Neurospora crassa OR74A: one gene and its partner. The protein of the gene in region 1 interacts with the protein of each later gene in a biochemical or structural test. Links are inferred from orthologs where the notes say so. Each region holds a gene or a part of one and is shown on either strand. Other genes may lie near its edges.

Region 1 (3,711 bases):
TTCTGTCATTCTCTTGTCTTCCTTATGGCTTGTCTGGTTTGTTCGGGATGACACGAACCGGCAAGTCACGCATCTAGCGCGGCGTTCCTTTTGCTTTTTGTTTTATTTTCTTTTATTTTGTATTTTTTGAGCTCAGCTCTTTTTTCTCACCCGCCTTCGTTATTCGATTCGGCAATCCTGATCTTTCGGTATTGTTGCCGCGAGTCTTCTGACGGTGCCCCTCCTTAGTCTACCGAAAGGACAGCCAATGTTCGGGTAAGCAGGGCGGTTTGATGCTCGTACCTTCGAAATGGGTGGCAATAAGGCAGTCAAGGATTGACTGTGAAGAGATCAGGCTTTTTTTTCCGCCGTCGAGTGCTTCTTAACGAGCAGGGCCAGATACAAGGCTTAGCAGCGCAGCGCAAGGGGGAGGGGGGAAGAATAGTTGGAATGGAACGCTACATAAAAACGGTGGAATGGGGTCCGGGCATCTCGAGATAAAGGAGTGAAAGAGGTATGGTATGATAAATGGTCATACCATCAAAACTTTCAGGATTGGCTGCCAACACTCTCTCCAGGAATGGCCAGCAAGGGAGGCATACACATTTTTGCAGTAGGGAAGCCTGGAGGCTCTTTTTGTTTGGTAAATCTTAATCTATATATTTTTTTGGGCATTTTTGTGATCAATCGACGCACTCTTATTAGTCTGAATTTCTTTTTCTTCTTCTTTTCTCCATCATCATCGTCGTCCCAATCCCTCACACAAAACGTGGTCTTCAGTGACCTTGATACTCCTTACAAGTAGACAGATGGCTTGATGGGTGGCAAAGAGTAGTGAATGTACTGCAGTTCGCCAAGTTCTGTCTTATGTGGCTGCTGGACTGCGACCATTCGCATAATGAATTTCGAACCCAGAAATCCACAGCAGACCCGAATATTTGCGCCCTCTAAAACCACCGAGTCTGAAGTTGATCTATATGATGCTGGTCCCGCCTCATGTGTGTTCCTAAATCCAGATCCGTCGGAGAGGAAAAAGAAAAATATTCAATCGCTGAGTGAACGCCGTCGCTATGCAACAAAAACACCATTACCGCCAACCAAAAGGCCGGGGCATACCGGTCCAGAACCACTCTCAGTCCAAATCCATCTTATCCGCGTCAACCACAGCGGCGATCCCCGCCGCCATGCTCGTCTCTTGTGACAGCCCAATACCACTGCCGACCTCCTTCTCATCCTCAACAAACACACCCAACCCAGCAAACGCTTCATACAAGGCGCGCGCCGCAAAGTCGTCAAAGCTGTACCCACCAGCAACGTGCTGTCTGTCCAACCGGTACTTCTCCATAAGCGGGTGACTCAAGCCTCCATGTAGCTTGTACCGACTAGGCGCGAAGTCCATGCCTCCAAAGGGGTCGTACGGGCCCTGTGGCGCCGGCGCCTTCGGCTTCTCCTTCAAGCCGCGGATGGACAAACGCTCAACCTCCGACGCGCCCGTGCCCATTCCCGTTGTTGCGATGGCAGGGTTGGAAGCTGTTTCAGCAACCCGATTCACCTGCCCACGCCTCTTTAGCTGTACCTTCGTCGCCGGCTCCGCTGTCATAGCAGTGGTTCCCTTGGCCAGGTTATCCAGCTCCATTTCGCGACTCCTCACCCTCTCTCTTTTCTCCGCCTCCGCCTCCTTGATAGCCTCAATCCTCCTCTGCCTGACAGCATCCCTTTCGGCTGCCAGCCTCACTCTTGAAATCTCATCCGCCTCCCTCCCCGCCTTCTTATTCCGTTCAATATCCGCCCTATGCTCCGCCTCCCATGCCTGCAATTGCGCCTCCGCCTGCCGTCTCCTCTCATCCGTCCCATTGACAAGTTCAAACGTCAAATCTTCCACCATCTGCAAGTAATTATTATAATCCTGGAGCGTCTCAAAGTCGTCCTCGACTTGGTTGAACACCGCCGCCACGCGACGGCGGATGTCGACCTCGCGCTCGACGGCCAAGTCGCCGAAAAAAGCCGAGCGGAAGCCCTTGCGACGGAGCGTTTTGTTGCAGCCGGCGTGCGGACATTGATTGGGTCCGTCGTTGAAGAGTCGGTTGGCACAGTTGAGACACATGGAGTGGTAGCATTCGGGGTTGAAGACGAAGACGATGTCGGGGTTGAGGTACTTGCGCGATTTGCAGACGGGGCACATTTCGTCTTCGAAGCCGAGGGGGTCGAGAGGGCGCGCCATGGTGGGTGGTTTCTTTTTTTTTTGGGGGGGGGGGGGGGGGGGGGGGGGTTGTTTTGATAATTTCGCTTCGAGGAGACGGGGATCGATGTGCTGAAGTGGGATTTCCAAAGGTTAAATGATGGCCAAGAGAAATGTATGCTGAATTATAGCGAGGAGTGGGCGTTTCCCTTCGAAGGGACAGTAGTCCGTATCTGAGAACTCGGGACGTCTCTTGATGTGTCGGTGAGTGAGTGGCGATCGCGGCCCAAATCTTCTTTTATATCTGTTTGGTGATCGTGATTTGGCGACGAGGACTTGTACTCGTCTTGTTAGGTGATGAAATGTTGTTCTAAAATGCCAGCTCGGCTAGGCAGAAATTCCGGGTCACGCAGTCATGTATCAACGGTGGATAGGGAAGGTGATGAAAATCAACCAAGTGGAAGTCTGGGTGAAACCCGAGTGAGATTGACGATGTGGTGAAAGAGGGACTGATAAGAGTTATTATGCTTGGGCTGAATAATCCTTGTTTCCACTTGGCCCCCAACCGCGCCAGCGCTCCAATGGACGCTACCCTGGCGGTGCAGGGTGGGGCTTCCCAGATCATTCACAGCACGGCACTCTGCCGCGCTCATCTGGCAGCTCTGTCTCAGGGGACTGGACGCGGGCAAGCGTGGGGTGAGCAGGGGCTACCAGGGCAGTGACAGCAGCCGCTCGCGGGCAGCTCCTAGGATTGGGATTGGGCGGCCGCAGCCGTTCCATGCGGGTTACCTGCCCCTCCAGAAATTCGGTCATCGCGTTCAGGCGCGTTCCATCGTCTTCTACTTACATTACCGCACATTGCACCACTGCACCACTGCACCAAGCTGCCGTCGTTGCCCAATATCTACACCGAATTCAACAATACCACCTTCAACATGGCTGACAAAGGTGCGTTTTAGAGCTCAACTCCTCTTGCTCCCAAGACCAGAAAGTCCATCCGCCATCAACAGGTCCCACTAGTCAACTGACCAAACAATGTCAGACGTAACAGAGCTCACCCCCGCCGAGGAGGCCGCTGCCCGCGCCAAGGAACAAGCCGAGCAGGAGGCTCTCCCCTACAAGTGGACTCAGACGATTGGCGACGTCGACATCACCATCCTCGTCCCTGGTAACCTAAAGGGCAAAGATATGGTGGTTGAGATAAAGAAGCAGTCTCTTACGGCTGGTATTAAGGGTCAAGAGCCCGTCATCAAGGTAACCAACCTACTTGCCCACATATCTACAAATCACAACCCTTGCAACTTTCCAACGCCGCCTATACCATACCACCCAATGTCGCATGCCGAGTAGCTCGATTCTGACACCTCCCACAAAACCAGGGCGACCTCCCCCACCCGATCCTCCTCGACGATTCAACTTGGACGCTGTCCCCCGCTCCCGCCGGTCAAAAAGCCCTGGAGATCCATCTCGAAAAGCACAACAAGCTCGAGTGGTGGCCGCACGTAGTCACCAGCGCCCCGAAAATCGACGTGAGCAAGATCGTCCCCGAGAAC
Region 2 (4,214 bases), on another chromosome or scaffold:
ACGACCAAGCAAGGTCCTGAACGGACGGAATAATGGTGCGATGTGCAATATGATGTGAGTGACAACAAGCCACCCAGTTTGATTATATGCTTCTCTAAATGGTATCTCTTTTTTCCCTTCCTCGCTGCGTTGTGATTCCGTACTCCAACTCCAACTTCAACTCCAACTCCAACAGCCCAGCCACTCAACCAAGCTTATCAGCGTCCACATCCGGGTCAAATATCGAGATCTGGTTCATGGTCTTCTTCGTTTGCTTGACTCTTTCGTCCTTGAGCATGCGCGCATCCATTCTCGCATCCTCGCCCTCGACCCTGAGAGCAGCCTTGGGCGTCACGGCCTCGATGATGTAGTGGTTGTCGCAGTGCGGGCAGTATTCGTCGGAATCCTCGAACTCGGTCGCATCCTTGCGGAAACACTTTTTGCACTTTTTGCAGGCAAAAGTCATCTCGAGTGTCTTCTTAAGGGGGTGCGACTCGGACTCGGCGTGGCATTCGGGACAGTCGAACCATTTGCGGCCTGCGTAGGAGGTGGGTGTAGAGTTAGAGGTCATGTTTATATGGCTGCGATGTTCGGTGTTGTTGTCGTTGTATACTGGTAATAGGGAATCGTGGTGGTTCGTTTATTTGAGACTGAGGTTACGTACAGCATGGTGACCGGATGGAGACTTGAGCATTGAGAACGTGTTTACTGGATGGGAGAGGATCTAGTTAGCAGGTGGTTCGTGGAAGTGGTCTACACGAGCAAACAAGGGGAACATAAGTAGAAGGCATGCCGAAGTGTCAGGTCATGGCATGGCAGGTGGGAGTTTACTTACCACATGATGACAGACAGGAAGAGGTTACTTATGCGCAGAGAGGTAGATAGTGTAGATGGCTCGTTCTGATCCCTGATTTTATGATATTTCGTCGTTGTTGGGTTCTATGTGGTATGTACGACACCAAGATTCTTTCGACGTCGCTTCGTTCTCCTTGATCGCCAATGTTCACGTCCGGAAAAAAAAGGGTTCACCGAACTTTATCACGGCACTTAACGCGGTCGTCCCGTCGCCCCCCCCTTCGTCCACCCACCCAGACCAGAACCGACCCGACCACCACTCAACGCGGGGTGCTTTTCGGACTGGACAGCGGGTGACACGGGTGGAGCCTGCAACTGAGGGAGTGCACTGAACGCCGAACGGTTCCCTCCACTTCCAGGTTGGCTCCAGAAGACTCGCTTCCCCACAAAATAAGCGTGGCTGATGACTAAACTAGCGTGTCTGGCCCCTGTCGGCCTTGCTGTCACAGCGGCTCGGGCGCCCGGCTCCTACGGTATCGCCTTAACAATTTCCATAACAGGACAGGAACCGCAGTGTAAGCAAACTAGGCCTGCTGTACTTGTACCCTACAATACCTCTGCTTGTAGAGCCAGGTATCTACCGTAGCGTACAAAAGACAAAGTGGAATTTCATCATCCATTTCAAACTCCCATCCTTTCAACCTTGTATTCTTTTTTTGCCACTGCACTGGCATTCTTCATTTGTCCGCCTGCTAATCCATCCTTCTAGAACTGAAACTGCTAGAAATAGATAAAACAGAGCAGAGACAAGAAAGAAAGAAAGGAGATCACGTTTTCGTCATACACATAATGCCGCCCAAGCGAAAAGCGGTCGGCGCCCCCCAGGCCGGCGTTGCCAAAGCTGGCCGCACTTCGGCCCTGTCCACTCCCGGCCCCGCGACTCCCCGCAGCCTCGAGAGCTCGTTCCAGTCGGACGGCGATGATGATTTGAACGACGACGACGTCGACGAGGTCATCAAGAGGAAAGAGGAGGTGATTGCCCGCGAGGCCGACGAGTTCGTCAATACATGGGCCGTCGATAGTAGCCGTTTCCAGGCCCGACAGGACGGTGGCGGCAGTCATCGTGACGGCGCCACCCAGTTCTTTGGCAGCGGGAAACGCGACTTTTCGTATCTGAACTTGAAACCCGACCACGACCAGAAGCCGCTGTGGATCGACCCGGAGAAGGGCACCATCATACTCGAGAAGTTCAGCCCGGACGCCGACCGCGTCACCGACTTCCTCGTCACCATTGCCGAGCCCAAGTCACGGCCGCATTTCCTGCATGAGTATCAGTTGACCGCCCACAGTCTCTACGCTGGTGTGTCCATTGGCCTGCAGTCAAAGGATATTATAGACACCCTGGATCGCTTCCTCAAGACCCCCCTGCCCGAGTCCATTCGTCTCTTCATTGAGTCGTGCACAAAGAGCTACGGCAAGGTGAAACTCGTGCTGAATAACAACAAGTACTTTGTAGAAAGCTCGGATGCCGAGTTGTTGCAGAAGCTGCTCCGCGATGAAGTAATCGGAAAGTGGCGTGTCCAGGGCTCCGGTGATATTACCACCTCCTATGCGCCCACCATGGGCGGCCTGGTCATCCCCGGCACCAAAGATGCCGCCGGTGTGAACCAGGCAGGCCTCAACAAGTCTGGCAACAAGAAGACTGCCGAGGATGGGGCCGCGGACGCTGCGGCGACTAACGAGGCAGACCTCTACGCAGCCATCAATGAGGAAGACGACGAGGACGACAAGGACGCCGTCCATGCCTTTGAGATCCCCGAAACCGCCGTCGAGATTGTCCAACGACGCTGTCTTGACCTAGGATTTCCCATCTTGGAGGAGTACGACTTCAGGAACGACTCTAATAACGCGGATCTGGAAATCGATCTGCGACCAAACACACAGATTCGTCCGTACCAGGAGCAGAGTCTCAGCAAAATGTTTGGTAACGGCAGAGCAAAGAGTGGCATCATTGTTCTGCCGTGCGGTGCAGGCAAGACCTTGGTCGGCATTACGGCTGCCTGCACCATCAAAAAGGGTGTCATCGTCCTGTGTACCAGCAGTATGTCCGTCGTGCAATGGCGCCAGGAGTTCCTCAAGTGGTCCAACATCAACCCCGACGATATTGCCGTCTTTACCGCTGAGAGCAAGAACAAGTTCTCTGGTAATACGGGTATCATTGTTACTACATATTCTATGGTTACCAACAACCGAGAACGATCTCACGACTCCAAGAAGATGATGGATTTCCTCAAGAGTCGTGAATGGGGTCTGATGCTTCTCGACGAGGTCCACGTCGTCCCTGCCGACGTCTTCCGAAGAGTTATCTCTTCCATCAAGTCGCACTCCAAGCTGGGTCTCACAGCCACCCTGCTCAGAGAAGACGACAAGATTTCCCACTTGAACTTCCTAATCGGCCCCAAGCTCTACGAGGCCAACTGGATGGAGCTATCCGAAAAGGGTCACATCGCCAAGGTCCAGTGCGCAGAGGTGTGGTGTCCTATGCCCACCGAGTTCTACGACGAGTATCTTCGTGCCAACTCGCGCATGAAGCGCACTCTTTACGCCATGAACCCCCGAAAGTTCCAGGCCTGCCAGTACCTGATCAACTACCACGAAGCCCGCGGCGACAAGATCATCGTCTTCTCCGACGAGCTGTACTCACTAAAACAATACGCCCTCAAGCTAAATAAAGTCTTTATCTACGGCGGCACCGGCCAAGCCGAGCGCATGCAAGTGCTCGAAAACTTCCAGCACAACCCGCAAGTCAACACGCTCTTCCTCTCCAAGATCGGCGACACCTCGCTCGACTTGCCCGAAGCCACCTGTCTCATCCAAATCTCCTCCCACTTCGGTTCCCGTCGTCAGGAAGCCCAGCGCCTAGGCCGTATCCTCCGAGCCAAGCGCCGTAACGACGTCGGCTTCAACGCCTTCTTTTACTCACTCGTGTCCAAAGACACGCAGGAAATGTACTACTCGTCCAAGCGCCAGGCCTTCCTGGTCGACCAGGGCTACGCCTTCAAGGTGATCACGCAGCTGGCCAACATCGAGAACACGCCCGACCTGGCCTTCGCCACGGCGCAGGAGCGGCGCGAGCTGCTGCAGCGCACACTGGTCGACAATGAAAAGGGCGCCGAGGATGATGTCGAGACGGACGATCTGTTTGGTAAGGTCGGGCGCGGAAGGGGTGGCGCAAAGGGCAGAGCGGCGGCGGTTCGGAGAATGGCTGGAACCCTGGGCGAGCTCAGTGGTGGTCAGGATATGGCGTACATTGAGCAGAACAAGGCGGCGAATAAGGGGTTGAAGAAGAAGGGTGCCGCCAAGGCGGAGCAGAGCGCCTTCTTCAAGAAGCTGCAGAGGGAGAAGGAGAGGAGTCGGGCTTTGGCGAGACAGGGCTAGAA

What was found.
Region 2: the proteins of NCU02587 (region 1) and NCU06438 are reported together in a solved structure, tested with the Saccharomyces cerevisiae proteins (2 studies listed by BioGRID, with this or other methods). The link is inferred for Neurospora crassa OR74A from reciprocal best matches to the Saccharomyces cerevisiae genes TFB3 and SSL2.

Annotation. Positions count from the first base shown.
Region 1 is NC_026501.1:2,825,105-2,828,815, forward strand, and holds NCU02587 (RNA polymerase II transcription factor B subunit 3), read right to left. Parts: upstream 2,201-3,711; coding exon 1,112-2,200; 3' UTR 590-1,111; downstream 1-589. Other genes in the region: NCU02588 (nuclear movement protein nudC, variant 1), read left to right, coding at 3,094-3,106, 3,201-3,412, 3,538-3,711. UniProt on the Saccharomyces cerevisiae protein: Acts as a component of the general transcription and DNA repair factor IIH (TFIIH or factor B), which is essential for both basal and activated transcription, and is involved in nucleotide excision repair (NER) of damaged DNA.
Region 2 is NC_026503.1:1,415,810-1,420,023, reverse strand, and holds the start of NCU06438 (DNA repair helicase RAD25), read left to right. Parts: upstream 1-1,389; 5' UTR 1,390-1,623; coding exon 1,624-4,212; 3' UTR 4,213-4,214. Other genes in the region: NCU06439 (zinc finger protein), read right to left, coding at 185-516, 644-687, 815-819. UniProt on the Saccharomyces cerevisiae protein: ATP-dependent DNA translocase. Component of the general transcription and DNA repair factor IIH (TFIIH) core complex. When complexed to CDK-activating kinase (CAK), involved in RNA transcription by RNA polymerase II.